Tamandua tetradactyla: one gene and its partner. Each later gene encodes a partner of the first gene's protein in a complex. Links are inferred from orthologs where the notes say so. Each region holds a gene or a part of one and is shown on either strand. Other genes may lie near its edges.

What was found. The genes of interacting proteins can lie anywhere in the genome.
Region 2: POLR2E (region 1) and POLR1B share a complex: the UniProt entries of both Homo sapiens proteins name them as parts of the pol I pre-initiation complex. The link is inferred for Tamandua tetradactyla from reciprocal best matches to the Homo sapiens genes POLR2E and POLR1B.

Annotation. Positions count from the first base shown.
Region 1 is NC_135337.1:81,867,247-81,874,791, reverse strand, and holds the start of POLR2E (DNA-directed RNA polymerases I, II, and III subunit RPABC1), read right to left. Parts: upstream 3,005-7,545; 5' UTR 2,830-3,004; intron 198-2,829; exon of another isoform or gene 135-197; 5' UTR 1-134. Other genes in the region: SBNO2 (protein strawberry notch homolog 2), read right to left, coding at 7,220-7,545. UniProt on the Homo sapiens protein: DNA-dependent RNA polymerase catalyzes the transcription of DNA into RNA using the four ribonucleoside triphosphates as substrates.
Region 2 is NC_135343.1:496,704-504,592, reverse strand, and holds the start of POLR1B (DNA-directed RNA polymerase I subunit RPA2), read left to right. Parts: upstream 1-4,883; 5' UTR 4,884-4,910; coding exon 4,911-5,084; intron 5,085-6,232; coding exon 6,233-6,400; intron 6,401-6,637; coding exon 6,638-6,784; intron 6,785-7,889. UniProt on the Homo sapiens protein: Catalytic core component of RNA polymerase I (Pol I), a DNA-dependent RNA polymerase which synthesizes ribosomal RNA precursors using the four ribonucleoside triphosphates as substrates.

The sequences.
Region 1 (7,545 bases):
GTAGCTCTCTGTAAGTTCCCAAGTAAAGGTCTGAGGACTTATCACCTGGTGTGCAGTGCTTCTTTCTTCCAAATCTCAACAGGCTCCACTGTGGAGTGGCTGGAGCAGTCCCGGCCAGGTCTCCCCCATTTCTCCTTTCAGCAAAAGGTGACACAGAGCCATAAACATAAATGAATGTACAATAGAAAGTGATGAGGCTGCAGAAAGAGAAGCAAGGCAGGGTCAGGGAGACTTGAGGGGGCTGCGGAGTCAAGTGGGGACCTCAAGGAAGGCCCTGAAGAAAGGTTTAAGCAAGTCCCTGAAACAGGACTGGGTGGGAGCAGCTTGGGGTCTAGGGACAGGGTGTCGGGCCAAGGGTACAGGCCAGCGTACCCAAGGCCGGGCCTTGCCCGGTGTGTTGGCAGCAAGAGGTGGGGGGCCACAAGGAGGGACGGTCGGGGCTGAGGGGGGCAGAGCCAGGGAGGTCTGCGGTTTGGTTGTCAAGTGCAGGTTTTCTGTTCAGCCACTGCAATGTTTGGAGCTGCTGTTTTGGGGACAGCGCTGGGGGCTGGGTGATAGTGGGAAGGGGCCACCGGCCAGATGTGGGGATAGGGACTGGGGGAACTGTAAGCTGAGGGCGACCTGGTGTCTCCTGAAGGCAGAGCCCATGGTATTTGCAGATGGATGGAGCGTGGGGTCATGCCGGGGAGAATGGAGGTGGCCCCGATGGAGATGGGATAATGGGGGGGGGGTAGGTGGGGACAGGGGTCTTGGGCAGTGGAATTTGAGGCTCCGTGGGACTTTGAGGGGAGGTGGAAGGAGGGAGGAGGATCTGTGGAGTTCACGGTGAAGATCATGGTGGCAACTGTCCTGAAGAGGACCCCTAGGGATTTCTGGAGATATCTGTGGGTGTCACGACTGGGGAGGGGGTGCCCAGAGACCCTGATAAGCACCCCCAATGCCCAGGATGCCCCAACATTAGCTGTGCCTTTGGCGACAGATCCTGGCCTGGCACCGGGAGCGGGGGCGGCAGAAGGCAGAGGGGCTGGCCAGACCCTGGGGCAGCTGCCTGCGCTCCAGCCCTAGCTGTGTGACTTCTTAACCTCTCTAGTGCCTGGGTGCTCCCGCCAGACAAAATAGGGACTGGACCAACACCTGCTTCCTTGGAGAGCCGGCCAATAACTGCGCTCAGTGCCCAGGACGCAGGCATGGCCGAGAGCTTCCTAAGTAGGATAAAGGTGGAGGGGAAGGAGGAGGCTGCCAGGTGTCCCAGAAAGCAGGGGAGGAGGGGGCGGCCACCAAGTCGAGACTTGCTTTGTGTCTTTGACCAGGCAGCTGCAGGGAGGGGCTGGGGCAGGTGTGCAGGGGTGAAGGGACTGGAGCTGCAGACAGAGCTGCTGGCAATGGGAGAAAGGGCACTCAGGAATGAGGGTAAATGCAGGTGACAAAGGCTAAGCCCAAGAAGCAGTGGCCTTGGCTAGAGAGTGCATGTTCCAGGTGGCCTCGGGGTTCCTTGGGGAAGCCAGGGGAGGGAAGGGGTGGAGACGGAGGAGGGGGGGCAAGCGGGCTCCTCAGAGGGTTGCACCCTGTGAGGCCCAGCAATCCCCGAGATAAATTAAAACCCATGTCCACGCACAGACTCGTGTTCACAGCAGGATGTCATGGCGGAAAAAGTGGAAACAACCCAATATCCACCAGCAGATGGACAAAATATGACTGATCCCTACAATGGGCTATTATTCGGCCATAAAAAGGACAAGTATCACCTTTTGTTCCCACTTGGACTCTGAAGACATTCTGCAGAGTGAAAGAAGCAAAGAACAAAGCACAAAGCTCGTCTGATTCCAACTGATAAGGAACGTCCTGGCCAGGCAAACCCACACGGACAGAAAGGAGATTTGAGGTCACTGGGGTCTGGAGTGGGGCTGGGGAGTGGCAGCCGACAGGCATGGGGTCCCCTTTTTCGGGTGATGAGAATGATCTGGAGCCAGACAGTGGTGAAGGTTGCACAACATTGTGAATATACTAAAATCCACAGAACTGGACATGTTATACGTAGTTAAAATGGCGAATTTTATTTCAAAACGAGAGGATTACAAAAAAACTAGGTCATAGGACAGGCCCTGTAGACTGGTGGCAACTCAGGACAGACCTCGACCCTCTGGCCAGAGTACAGCTGGGCTCCAACCCCTCCCACCCCCACCCCACAGCTTCCACCTCGCCCAGGCCCCTTGGGGAGGTGATGGCCTGCGGCCAGGGCTGGGTGCAGCGGTCTTTCTATCTTTCCTCTCTCCGCCCCTGGCTCTAGGAGGGCGGCGCCCTGTGTTTTTGACAACACTGAAAAAAAAATCAGCCTTTCGGGGAAGGTGTTTACAGATCCAAGCAAAACTGAGAACATCTGAGCCTTAGGGCAAGCCCAGTGTGGTCAGGGCACTGGGCACTTCCGAGGGCGGCGAGGACTGGGTGGGAGTTCCTAGGAAGTGAGGGGGGCCCCACGGAGCCCACGGCCACCATGCCAAGAGACTCAGAGAAGCAGGCCCCTACTGACCCCGCGGAGGAGGGCTGTGTTGAGAAATGGACCTTATGAGGTTCCACATTAGCGGGTGACCTGGTGACCCTCCCTTCTTTGCCTCTGCCACCAGACGGCAGAAAGCAGAAACTCTCCCAAGGGCCAGTCCCGTGACGCGGGGAGGGGAGTTGGGGGTGCTGCATAACTCACGGGACCCAAAAGGTGGTGGGTCTGCCGTGCCCCTGTGGTCCAACGGCCGGGCCTTGTTTGGACGCGCTAAAAGGAAGTTGCCCCGTGTTGGAAATATACGCAAACCACGTGGGGGATGGGAAGTCACATGCCTGGAGAACTCCGGCGTGTTTTTTTCTGGGCGCACACCTGCGTGACCGTGAGAGTATTCCCGGGAATTTGGGCGCGCTTCCTGGCGGTTTGGACGACCTTTCCCACCCCCCACCCCGTGCCCTCGGGGAGAGTGGGAGGCATTCTCTCCCTCCCGCCGCTCGCACAACCGCCCGCAATCCCGACGCGCGGCGGCGTGAACTCAACCACCCACCCAGGAGAGCATGCGCAGTGGCTACCGACAACAGAGCCGCAGACCGCCCCCGCCCCACCATTGGTCACCAGTTGCACGCATCCATGGCCCGCCAATGAGGGCGTAGGTGGGCGTGGCCGAAGGCGGGAAGGTGCGGGGCGCCGGCGCGTGGCCATTGGTCGGTCGGTCAAAGGGAGGAGCCGCCGCGCTCCGCGCCCCCACCGCCGCGATGAGCCTTAGCCGCCTGTGCCGTCTGCTTAAACCCGCGCTGCTGTGCGGGGCGCTGGCAGTTCCCGGCCTGGCCGGCACCATGGTGAGCAGGCACGCAGGGCCGGAGCCGGGAGCCGTTGGGCCGCTCGCGGGAGCCCGGGAGCCGGGGGTGCGGCGTCCCCCCGGGGGGGGGCTCCTGTCCGTTTCTCCCCTCCCACCAGCCCCGGGCCGGGGGCGCAGCGGGGGACCGTACCCATTCACTTTGTACGCGGCCGCCGGGCCTGTCTGGGGCGTTGGGCAGGTAGCCAGTGCGGGATCGGGGGTGGGGGAGGCCGGCTGGGGATGGGAAGGCACGGGTGCGGTGGGAGGGTCAGGTTCGTTTCCCTGGGCTTCGGGGATGGGCTGTGGGCTGGACACAGTGTCCCAGGGCTGGGTGGGAGTGTTGGCGTCGGTGTCCGGAAGCCTGGGGGGGTGTAGGCGGCTAGCGGGATCGGCTGGGCGGCCAGTCCTCTGCGCACCCGGGCTTTGGCCTCGAGGGCGGGGCCATCGAGCAGGGAAACTCGGGTCACGCGCCGCGTCTCAGCGCCCCTCCCCCCGGGGCCCAGGGCGACAACGTCACAGAGCGCTGGCCCCGGGCGCCCTGGCTACGGGCCCTTTTCCCGCCCCCCGCACAGCGCGCTGGGGCACAGGCGGGCGGAGAGGGGCGGGCATGGGCCGCGCAGCTGCCCGCTCCCGGGGCCGCCGCGGGAAGCGGTGCAGCCGCCGGGGCAGGTCGTTGGGCAGAGGCCCCAGGCGACAGCCCCGCAGGCGGAAGGCCGGCAGGCGGAAGACCCGGGCCTGTCGGCGCCGGAGACCGCGCCCCCGGAGGAAGAGATCCCCCTGCGAGAGCCCGGGACCGGCGGCGCCTGCCGGGATCCCGGAGCCTTGCGTGATTCCGGAGCCTTGCAGGGTCACGGACCCTCTTGCGGCCCCAGTTAATTCTGTAAAATGGACCCCGCTCCGCGGGCGGGGAGGGGGCGTGGCCGTTGGGGGCGGCACTTTCCTCTAGTCCTGGGCCGTGGCTTCCTTGGGGCGCGAAGGGCCGTTCTCTGGAGGTGCGCGGTGGGGTAGCTGCCCCGCGCCTGGCCCCCAGCGTGTCTTTGCCTCGCAGTGCGCGTCCCGGGACGACTGGCGCTGTGCCCGCTCCATGCATGAGTTCTCCGCCAAGGACATCGATGGGCACATGGTGTGCTTGGACAAGTACCGGTGCGTGCTTGCCGGCCAGCCCAGGGAGGGAAACGGGGCACCCCGAAGGGTAGCACCAGCGCCCCCTGACCACGCTTCCCTCGTCTCCAGGGGCTGCGTGTGCATCGTCACCAATGTGGCCTCTCAATGAGGCAAGACAGACGTAAACTACACTCAGCTCGTCGACCTGCACGCCCGATATGCTGAGTGTGGTTTACGTATCCTGGCCTTCCCCTGCAACCAGTTTGGGAAGCAGGTGCGTGGTCCCTGAGGACAGGACAGGAGGGGGAGGGCAACTGGGAGTGGGTAGAAGGTTTGGGACCCAGGTGCGGGTCAGGACTCAGGACAGCAGGACGATGGTGTGGGAGGGGTGGGGCAGGCCCTTGCCCCACTCCCAGTGCCCTGGCTGTCTGCAGGAGCCAGGAAGCAATGCGGAGATCAAAGAGTTTGCAGCCGGCTACAACGTCAAGTTCGATATGTTCAGCAAGATCTGCGTGAACGGGGACGATGCCCACCCGCTATGGAAGTGGATGAAAATCCAGCCAAAGGGGAGGGGCATCCTGGGAAAGTAAGTGCTCCCCACCCAGCTGCGGGGGTGGGGGTGGGGGGCTGAACCCCTCTAGGGAGCCCTCCTGACCTTGGGCCTCTTTTCTGCAGCGCCATAAAATGGAACTTCACTAAGGTAAGGAGGTCACCAGCTGGAAGAGGAGACTCCCACTTCTGCCCTCTACTTTCCCTTCTAATCCCCCCAATCCAGCCCAACTCCCCTGGGCTATCAGCCACAGCCTTCGTGCCTCACCCCCACTGGCCCATGGCCCCACCTTGGCACAAATAGGACAGCAGGTAGTGAGGGGCCTCGCAGGCAGGAATCTGCATCCCTGACTACCCCTCACAGTTCCTCATTGACAAGAATGGCTGTGTGGTGAAGCGATATGGTCCCATGGAAGAGCCCCTGGTAGGTGCCGTTTGAGGGAGCCGGGGGTGGGTAGGAGTGCTCCATCAGCTGTCCTGATCTCCCTCTTCTCCCACAGGTGATAGAGAAGGACCTGCCCTGTTATCTCTAGTTCTACAAGTGTGTGCCATCTTCGTGTCCCCCACCCGTGCCCCTGCCTGCAGTCCTGGAGCCTTCCACCCAGCACCCATGATGGCCTGCCTGCAAACCAGCCCACTGGTGGGGCAGACCTGAGAACCTGGCGTGCAACCTCTGCTGGAGGAAGGACCCGGCTGCCGGCGTGGCAGGGTGCCCCCACCCCTGGCTGCCTTGTGGGAATAAAATTTACAAACAGGCCTGCTTGGACCTCCTGCATCCACAGGGGGAGCCCCATGGCCATTCCTGCTGGGGCAGCTCGAATTGGGATTTCTGCAGCTCAGTCCTGGGTTGACATCAGGGCATGGCCAGTTCCTGGAAATTCCTCCCAACGGGCTGCTTGTCCAGGCACGAGGCCTTAACCCATTAGATGGCCAAGCTGGTCTAGGCAGTGAGCCAGGCTGCTCTACTTGCCAATCTCGTGGTGTAGGCATTAGCCCAGGGTACCCATGCCTACCCTCTGGGCTCCATCTAGTCCCATCCAGGGGAAAGTGAACTGTTGTAAAGGTACAGCTATCTCTGGGTCCCTCTTAGGAGGGGTAGGGATGGCCTGGGACCTGAAGAGCTGGCAGTCATGTTGAGGATCTGCCCTTGGGGGCTGTACAGAGTCCCCAAGAGGTGGTCTGTGCCTAAAGGAGGAGCTAAGGAAGAGGGTCCCAGGCAGAACTCCCTAGCCTGGATGCTGCTGGGGCACAGTACCTGAAGCCAAGGTGAATGGGCCCTGACACAGGCTGGCCAGTAGCAGCTGCCTTAAGAACTGGTACCACAACCACAGTAAACAATGGTCCCTCAGGTAGGCGTGAGCCAGGGGGTGTGATGTAGGCCAGGTCAAGGTGGGCTGGTTTCACCCCTAGGGGAGCCCATAACTCTCAGCCGCATTTCTAGGTGGGCCTTGTTCTAGCTGTGCTGGTCCCTGTCTTGCTTTGGAGCAAATACAAACCAGCAGGCAGGACGAGCAGACTTTGGGAAGTAGTCAAAAGGCACATATATTTAAAAAAAAGATCTGTTTACATATATACACAAGTTATAAATACACGTAGAAACCAGAGGACTGCTCCCTGCTGCCCCAGGTGGACTCCCAGGGTCCTGGGGCAGTGGCCGAGCAATAATTTAGGGAGCAAGGGAAGGAAGATGGAGGGTTGCATATATTAATGGGGAGGGGGGCTGCCCCATGAGCCACGCCAAGGCTGGGGGGATGGCTCTGAGCACCTGGGGTTTCCTGAGTTTCCAGCTCTTGGGACCACCCAGTTTCACGAAATTTGAGGCAGGGACCTCCAAAGGTGGGAGGAGGAGCAGAGCTAGGGGCTCTTGATCCTAAAGCAGCCTGCTCAGACCCCCTGTCCGAGGCCTGGGAGGATGGAGAGGCCAGAGGCACAGAGGTTGTGGACCCCTCAGCCCCTGCACCCCAAGTCGTGAGCTGGGCAGTGTCCCTACCAGGTGAGGCCTTGAGGGGTACTCCCCCCTGCAGGACCAGCCAGCGTCTGGGGGGCTGCTCAGGCACTGGACCCTGAGAACCCGGAGGATCAGGGCTTCTGGGAAGGCACTGCAGTGGCCGGCTGCCGGGGGGCTGGATGAGGGCACCGGACCTTTCCATCAGCGGCAGGCAGGGGAACTTAGCCCTGCCCACCACCTACAGAGGTGAACCATGATCCCTAAAGAAGTCCTGCTTGCCTGGGGCCTAGGAGTTGGCAAAGGGGGGGCTAAACTGGATGACACTCTGCCGCCCTGCCACCCCCGCACCCCCTAGTGGCCCTCCACCACCCCCCAGTGGCCCCGGCTGGGCAGTGGGGGGTGCTGCATGCAGAGAGCGCAGCATGTCCTCCAGCACCTCCTTGAAGTTAATGTCGCAGCCTTGCTGCAGGAGGTCAGTGGGGTCGGCCCGCACAGCGGGGGCCAGGGCACTGGGGGCGCCAAGCAGCAGGGAGCCGGGGGCTGCGGGCTCCAGGCCCAGCGGCGGGAAGGTGAAGTGCGCAGCGGGCGCCAGGGCCTCGGCTGGCGGGCTGT
Region 2 (7,889 bases), on another chromosome or scaffold:
ATCAGTGGCGCCAGTGACCTGGGCTGGGGGTGGGTGGGTTGACCCGCTCCACTGTGGTTCTCCAGCTTGGTCTGTTTGGCAGAGGCCACTCTTACTGACCATCCTGGAGAGGGTCCTTTCCTTAGGCTGGGCAGAAATGCTCGTGTCATGGGGAAGCACATGATGATCTCCTTCTGACCATCACTTGTTCAGACGGTATTCAGGAATCTTTGCAGCCCTTTTGAGCATTTTCTTTGTGTGTGTCTTTGCATCTTGCCCAGTGGGTCACTATCTTTAAAGGTAGGGAGGGATAAGCCTATCCAGGAATAGGTTGTTAATCACTAATACAATGTTAGCCAGCATTTATCAATGCTAGTTTCAGTCTTTTAAAATTGGCTATACCATCTTGGATAACCGAGATGACAACTGCAAATCTGTGATCTTAGGAGCCACTGAAAACATGTCTAAACCCAAAATTCCACTTACGTAATATAACAGACATCAGCTCTGGATCTTACTGCACTTAACTCCAACAGGCATGATAAAGTTACGGAAGACCGGCCTCCTTGATTTCCAGCCGTTGGAGGCAGGCTCTGGGGAGGGGCCTTCACACTAGGTGGGAGGAAAGGGTGTGGGGGCGCCTGCCAAGGGGTCAGCTTTGGAACAGGCTTCATGGACTCATAAGGCAACAGAAAAGCCACAAACCACCTTCAAGAGCCCAATAACTTCCAAAGAATCGTCCCTTCTTTGCCTACCTCTGAAATCAGGAAACAGTCTAAACAGTTCTCACTGCTGTGAGTAACGAGATTAACTGAGACGCTTCTGTGACTCCACTGGTGGGTCTGGAATGGGAGTTTCCAAGTCCAAGTGGGGTTTGTTTCCGTCACTCCCCACTGTACTCCTACCTGAGGCTGTTTCATTCCGCTTCACAGTTGTAGACACGTTCTGTTAACTTTAAATTGTGCATTTAAAATTCATTCTCAGATGTATTTTAAATTGGTTCTTAGAAACCTATGTCTTATGAAAATGAAAATATCAATTAATAATGGAAATAAGTATTTTATCAGTTGACTAGAACTATAGAATTGTTCCAAAATGATCAAAGCCACCAAAATAATCACCGAATATACACATCCAGTGTGAATGTGTTCAGGTACTTGACAGGATTTAAAAATATTTATTTTTATTCATAAATCTGAACATAGAAACATCCCACACATCATCACATAATTGTGTATTCATCACCATGATCCTTTTCAGAACACCTGCTCCAGAAAAACAAATAAAAAAATCCATCCATACATACTCATTGCCTCTCCCTCTCACTGACCACTAGTACTTCAATCTACCCAATTTATTTTAACCTTTGCCCCCCCCCATTATTTGTTCATTCTCCATCCGTACCCTGGATAAAGGGAGCATCAGCTGCAAGGTTTTCACAATCACACAGTCACATTGTAAAACTAAATCTTTATACAGTTGTCTTCAAGAACCAAATCTACTGGAACACAGCTCTACAGTTTCAGGTGCTTCCCTCCAGCCTCTCCAATACATAAACTAAAAAGGGATATCTATATAATGCGTAAGAATAACCTCCAGGATAACCTCTCGACTCATTTTGAAATCTCTCAGCCACTGAAACTTTGTCTCATTTCTCTCTTCCCCCTTGTGGTCAAGAAGGCTTTCTCAATTCCTGATGCTGGGCCTCAGCTCATCCCGGGGTTTTGGTCTCACGTTGCCAGGGAGATGTACACCCCTGGGAGTCGTGTCCCACGTGGGGGGTGGGGGGTGGGGGAGGGCTGTGAGTTCACGTGCCGTGTCGGCTTAGAGAGAGGCCACATCGCAGCAACAAAAGAGGTTCTCTGGGGGTGACTCTTAGGACCAATTTTAAGTAGGCTTAGCCTATCTTTTGCAGGGATAGTTCCACAGGAGCAAACCCCAAGATCAAGGGCTTGGCCTATTGAATTGGTTGTCTCCACTGCTTTCAGGAATATGTGAAATTCTCCGATTGGGGAAGTTGAATATTTCCTCCTCTTCCCAGTGCCCAAAGGGAATTTTGCAAGTGCTTCTTTATTCACTGCCCAGATCACTCTGGGATATATCGGGGCATCACACTAACCTCGACAACCAACAAAATCTCATACCCTATTCAAGATTCCATGTACTTTTAGTGTTCAACTAAACTGACCCCACAAGTTAAATTAGGAAATGCACTACCCAAAATATGTTTTGCACCCAAAAAAAATCCCTCTCTTTGGTCTCACAGAGAAGCTGAACTTTCAAAATATGAATAATATCATCCTTTACTCTGTATTCTGATTTACCTTAGTCCCATCCAGATCAGCTTCATTCATCGATTCTTCCTTCATAGGACTTTTGTGACTAGGAGCAGTACGTGATTATCTGATATGAATCCTAGTCACTCAGTAATAGCTAAAAGTGAGAAACAAAGCTTTTACCCCAGCAGTCTCTGATGGAAAAAGATGCCAAGTATACATTCTAACTAGTAGGGAATTTCATTCTGTGTCCCCTCCTTGGGTCACAAACATGGCCTTGGGACCAGAAAGTAAGTTCTCAAGAAACAAAAGGATGGGCACATCTCAAAGGTCACAGGAGTCACCTGAGACAGTTCCCAAAGGCCAAAGCGGGAACAATCTGAGCCCCCCAAAAAAAGACGTAGTATGAAAATATAACCCAAAGAACAAACATGAAATGATACTGATATAGATGACTGAATAATAAATAAGGGGAGAGGAGACACGTAGTCACGTGTGTAGATATGAACCGTCTACAGGACACAGAAGTCAATTCCCACCTCAGCCCTGAAGAAGGGGCTGGGCCTAGTGACCGGCCTCTGAAGAACAGAGGACGGAGAGGGAAGCACACTACCTCAAAGCCAAAGAGACCAGGCAGACACGACCTCGACCCAGTGCTGAAGGTCAGCCTCACCAGGGACGGGGCTTCCATGCACCCCTGTGTGCCCAAGACCTCCCCTCCAGCATCCTCCCAGCCACGCCCTGGGGTCACCCAGGGAAGACAACAAAGAAACCCAAACTGGGATACAATGCCCAAGACACCTGGACAGTCGCCACAGCACTGCCAAGGTCGTGAAAATCAAGGAAAAACTAAAACGCTATCACAGATCAGAGGGGACAGGGGCAACAGGACAACCAAATGCAATGTAACACCTTGGATTGGGTCCTGGGACAGAAAGAGGACATTAATGGGGAAAAAAATTAGAAATTCAAATAAAATATGGAATTTGGTTAAAAGCAATGCATCAATGTCTCTTTCTTAGTTTTGACAAATAGACTATGGTCCCACAACAAAGAATTATCGAGCTCAAAATGTCGATAGTGGCGGATGCCTGGGTGGTTCAGTGGTAGAATGCGCGCCTTCCACGAGGGAGACCCGGGTTTGATTCCCGGGCCATGCACCACCCCCACCCCCAAAACGTCAGTAACCCCAACACTGGAAAACTCCTGGACTGAGATGACAGCAGTAGAGGTGTCAGAATCAGCCAAGGTCAGGCCATGTTTGGGAGATACAGCCCACAAGATGTGATGCTATTCCAAAAGTAGGGGAGGGAGGGAGGGAGGGAGGGAGAGAGAGAGAGAGAGAGGGAGGGAGGGAGGGAGAGAGGGAGAGAGAGAGAGAGAGAGGGAGGGAGAGAGAGAGAGGGAGAGGGAGAGAGAGAGGGAGGGAGAGAGAGAGAGAGGGAGAGAGGGAGAGAGAGAGAGGGAGAGAGAGAGGGAGGGAGAGAGCCAGCACTGCTTCAGACATCTAAAGTGTGAGGTGGCCATTGATCCCCAGGGACGGTGTTAGGTGGAGAGCTGGGTATAGACGGATGGGGTGGTGGATAGATGGATGGATGGTAGAAGGATGGATGGATGATGGATGGGTGGGTGAGGGAGGGATGATGGATGGACGGATGGATGATTGATAGATGGATGGATGATGGACGGATGATTGATGGGTGGATCATGGACGGATGGATGATTGATAGATGGATGGATGATGGACGGATGATTGATGGGTGGATGAGGGATGGGTGGATCATGGACGGATGGATGATTGATAGATGGATGGATGATGGACAGATGATGATAGATGGATGGTAGAAGGATGGATGGATGATGGATGGGTGGGTGAGGGAGGGATGATGGATGGACGGATGGATGATTGATAGATGGATGGATGATGGACGGATGATTGATGGGTGGATGAGGGATGGGTGGATCATGGACGGATGGATGACTGATAGATGGATGGATGATGGACAGATGATGATAGATGGATGGTAGAAGGATGGATGGAAGATGGATGGGTGGATGATGGACGGATGATGGACGGATGACGGACGGACAGTCCAAGCAGGGAGAGGCTGGAGAAGAGACCTGGCCAGCCCTGAGCCCTGGGGCGCTGTAGCGTCCAGAGGCGGGAGGCGGGAGAACTCTGGGGACGGAATACGCTGCCTTGTAAGAAGCGAAGGGAGCTGCACCCGGCGGAGGACCCGCCCACGGAGCCAAGCGCAGCGAGGGGCCGGGGAGGTTCCGATGACCCGCCGCGCGGGGACGCAGCGCGCCAGGCGAGCGCGGGGGCGGCGGCGGCGAGCCGGGCGGCGCTCGGTCCTCGGCCTGGGCTGGGCTGGGGGCCGCGGGCAGGGCCGGAAGCGCGCAGTCGGTGCGCCGCCCGCCGAGCACGCCGCAGACGGCGGCCCCTCCGCGGGGGCGGGCAGGGGGCGCCGCGCACCTTCGCCTCGGCGCCGCGCAGCTTGACCCGGGCCCTTCCTTTCGGGGCTCGGCTTCCTAGTCGGCCAGGGAAACGCGAGGGACAGCAGGGCGGGCGGAGCGGGCGCGACGCACTTCCGGCGCGCGGCCCGAGGCCCTTCCGGCGCGCATGCCGCCCCGAGGTTCGGCCGCAGGCGTGCGATGGGTCCCGGCGGCTCGGGGCGCGGAGTCCCCGGGCCCAGCCTGAGGCACCTGACCGACCCCGCCTACGGGGCCCCGCGCGAACAGCAGGAGCCCGCCTTGCAGGAGCTGACGCGGGCGCACGTGGAGTCCTTCAACTACGCGGTGCACGAGGGGCTGGGCCGCGCGGTGCAGGTGAGGGCGGCGCCCCGCTGCTCGAGGCGGGCGGGGAGAGGCCGGGCGCGCCCAGCACGGCCGCCGGGGCTCGGGCTCCGTCGTGTTTCGAGGCGCCGTGCATGCGCCGGGAGCGGACTGGCGGAGGAGCGGGTGCGAGGGGCGGCCTTTGGCCCCTGGAGACCTGTCCGGTTGCGAACGGGGAGTTGGGCTTGTGGTTTTCTGGGTTTGTGGGTGACTGCGAACTGTGCGGATTCTGGGTCCTGAGGCCGGGAGGAGGCCACGCGCTGTCGCTGTGCTTCCCGACCGTTCACGCCGTGCGGACTTCTATACCGCGGGACCGCTTTCCTCGAAAGGTGTTGAGCCTGTTCCTGCGTGGGCTGTGAAGTGCTGGGTCCTCTCTCAGCTTTCTTTCTTTTTCCCCGCTTAGCGCTTTAGAGAAGAAAACCACGCTCTGAATGAGTCAGGTGTCGAGGAAAACGTGAGTGAGCTGTAGAGGCAGGGTTTCTTGTGGCACTCCCGGGAAAGTAGGACGTCCTCTGCAGTAGAAAAGGTGTCAGGCATCTTACTCGCCTGTGCTCAGCCCTAAGTGGTCGAGAAGGTGGTGGGGAAAGGTCTCGCCTGATGATCGCGCCTGGCTGTGAGGGGAACGGGGACGCAGAGCTTGCTTTTGAGTGTCGGTTTCACGGGGGGCCGGGTGGGGGTCTGAGACAGGGATTCTCCTGAGAACTGCTCGGCCCAGGTTGAGTAGCTGCTGTCGGTGCATATAGGAAATGCAGCCAGGTGTATGAGAAAGGTCCAGATTCGGGGAGTCGAAGGGAAGAGGAGAGTTCATTCCCTCCAGTGAAAGTGAAGGAGCAGAACCGCATTCTCAGGGAACGCTCTGCGGCCTGACGTTTCTGTTGAGTAGAATTTGTGTTTTCAGTAAGAATTGAGATAACATGAAGGACTTTGGTTGTCAGACTCGGGTACTTGCATTCTTTTCTGCAGGTAATGTGGGGGCCGTTGCAGTTTATGTTCCAAAGCAATTGGCTGTAGCCGGTTTTTTTAGATGTGTTATCACCTTGGCACTATAAGCATCAGTGCATGTAGAACACATGGGGTCTCAGAGTCTTTGAGAAAAAGTGCCCTGGAAGTGCAGTCATTTAACAGTGTGAATTGTATTTCAGGCTATACCTCCCTTCGAATTTGCTTTCCAAGATGAGCGCCTCTCTCTTACTATTGTGGATGCTGCCATCAGCCCACCCACAGTTCCAAAAGGGAGCATCTGTAAAGAGCTTAAGGTTTACCCAGCAGAATGCCGAGGCCGAAGGAGTACCTACCGGGGGAGATTGACAGTGAGTACACATGACATCGTGGCTCTGACACTTCACAACTCTGGTTAAGGGTGTATCTTATGAGTTTATACCGGAATGCTTTCTTAGTACAGTGATCTAGGAGAACCCGTCTTTTAAATCTAAATCATAAAATAATTTGTGGTCTTTTTCCTCACTGTTTTGAAATTCTCATTTTTTCTCGAAGATCCAGATAATTTTTCTTTTTTATTAAGTAATTTTTTTCTCATTTTTATTTAGGCTGATATCAGTTGGGCAGTGAATGGAATCTCAAAAGGAGTTATTAAACAGTTTCTTGGCTATGTTCCCATTATGGTGAAATCTAAGCTTTGCAACTTACACGGCCTTCCTCCAAAAGCCCTCATCGAGCACCATGAGGAAGCAGAGGTGATTGCTGGGACCCGGTGCCCTGAAAGGTCCTGTGGTAGGAGGGAGCAGGTTTGGGAGTGAGAAACCCTGAGGCTTCTTGGGAGTCAGTTTTTCTTTCTCTGCTCCCATTTCTCGGTACATAAAATGGGACGTGATGTCTTGTCTCCATCCTGCATAGGGCTTAGGATGTGACAGTTCAGATGAGTCGGTATATGAAAGTGTCGCTGTGCTATCCAGGAGTGTTTTTGCTGTGGCAGAAGAATTTGCAGATTTTCCTCTATTTTCTGAACGATGCAAATTTAAAGACATAATTCCAGGAAATTTGTCTGCTTTTTAACTTTTTATTTTGAAATAATTTCAAACTTAAGCCAAGTTGTAAAAATAATACAAAACCAATAGAGAACTCCCAAATACCCCCTACCCAGAATTATGATCTTTTAACATTTTATCACATTTTTTATCTCATTCTGTCTCAATCTGTTTTTCTAAACATTGGGCATAGGTTACATATATCATGTTCCTTTAACATTAATGCTTCCATGTATATTTCTTGAGAACAGCAATACTCGTTTATGTAACCACATTTAAATTCAGTTATCAAGTCCAAGAAATTTAATGTTGATAGTAAAGCGTACACTCTATATTCCAGCTTTTTCACTTGTCCCAATATTGTCCTTTTGGGCATTTTCTCCTCCGTTATTAGAGCCAGTCCAGGATCATGTCAATTGTTGTTGTCTCTTTTAAAAATTGTGATTTTACAGATTTCCCTTCTCAGCCACTCCCGAATTTCCAGTTCATTGGGGTTGGTTACATGCATATGTCTTGCTACCCTCACCACCCTCAATTACCACAACATCCTATCATCCCAAACTGAAAGACCATGCTCTGAACGCATTATGCATTATTGGGTTGATAGACACTTCCATCTTTTAGCACTTGTGAATAATACTGCTTCCATCTTGTAGCACTTGTGGATAATGGCGCTATGAACACGGTGTACAAATATCTGTCGAGTTCCTGCTTCCAGTTCTTTTGAGTATATATACCAAGTAGTGGGATTGGGAAAGTAACCTGATTTCCTTCCATATTCCCTCCCATGTCCCTGGAATCTTTTTCCAGTACT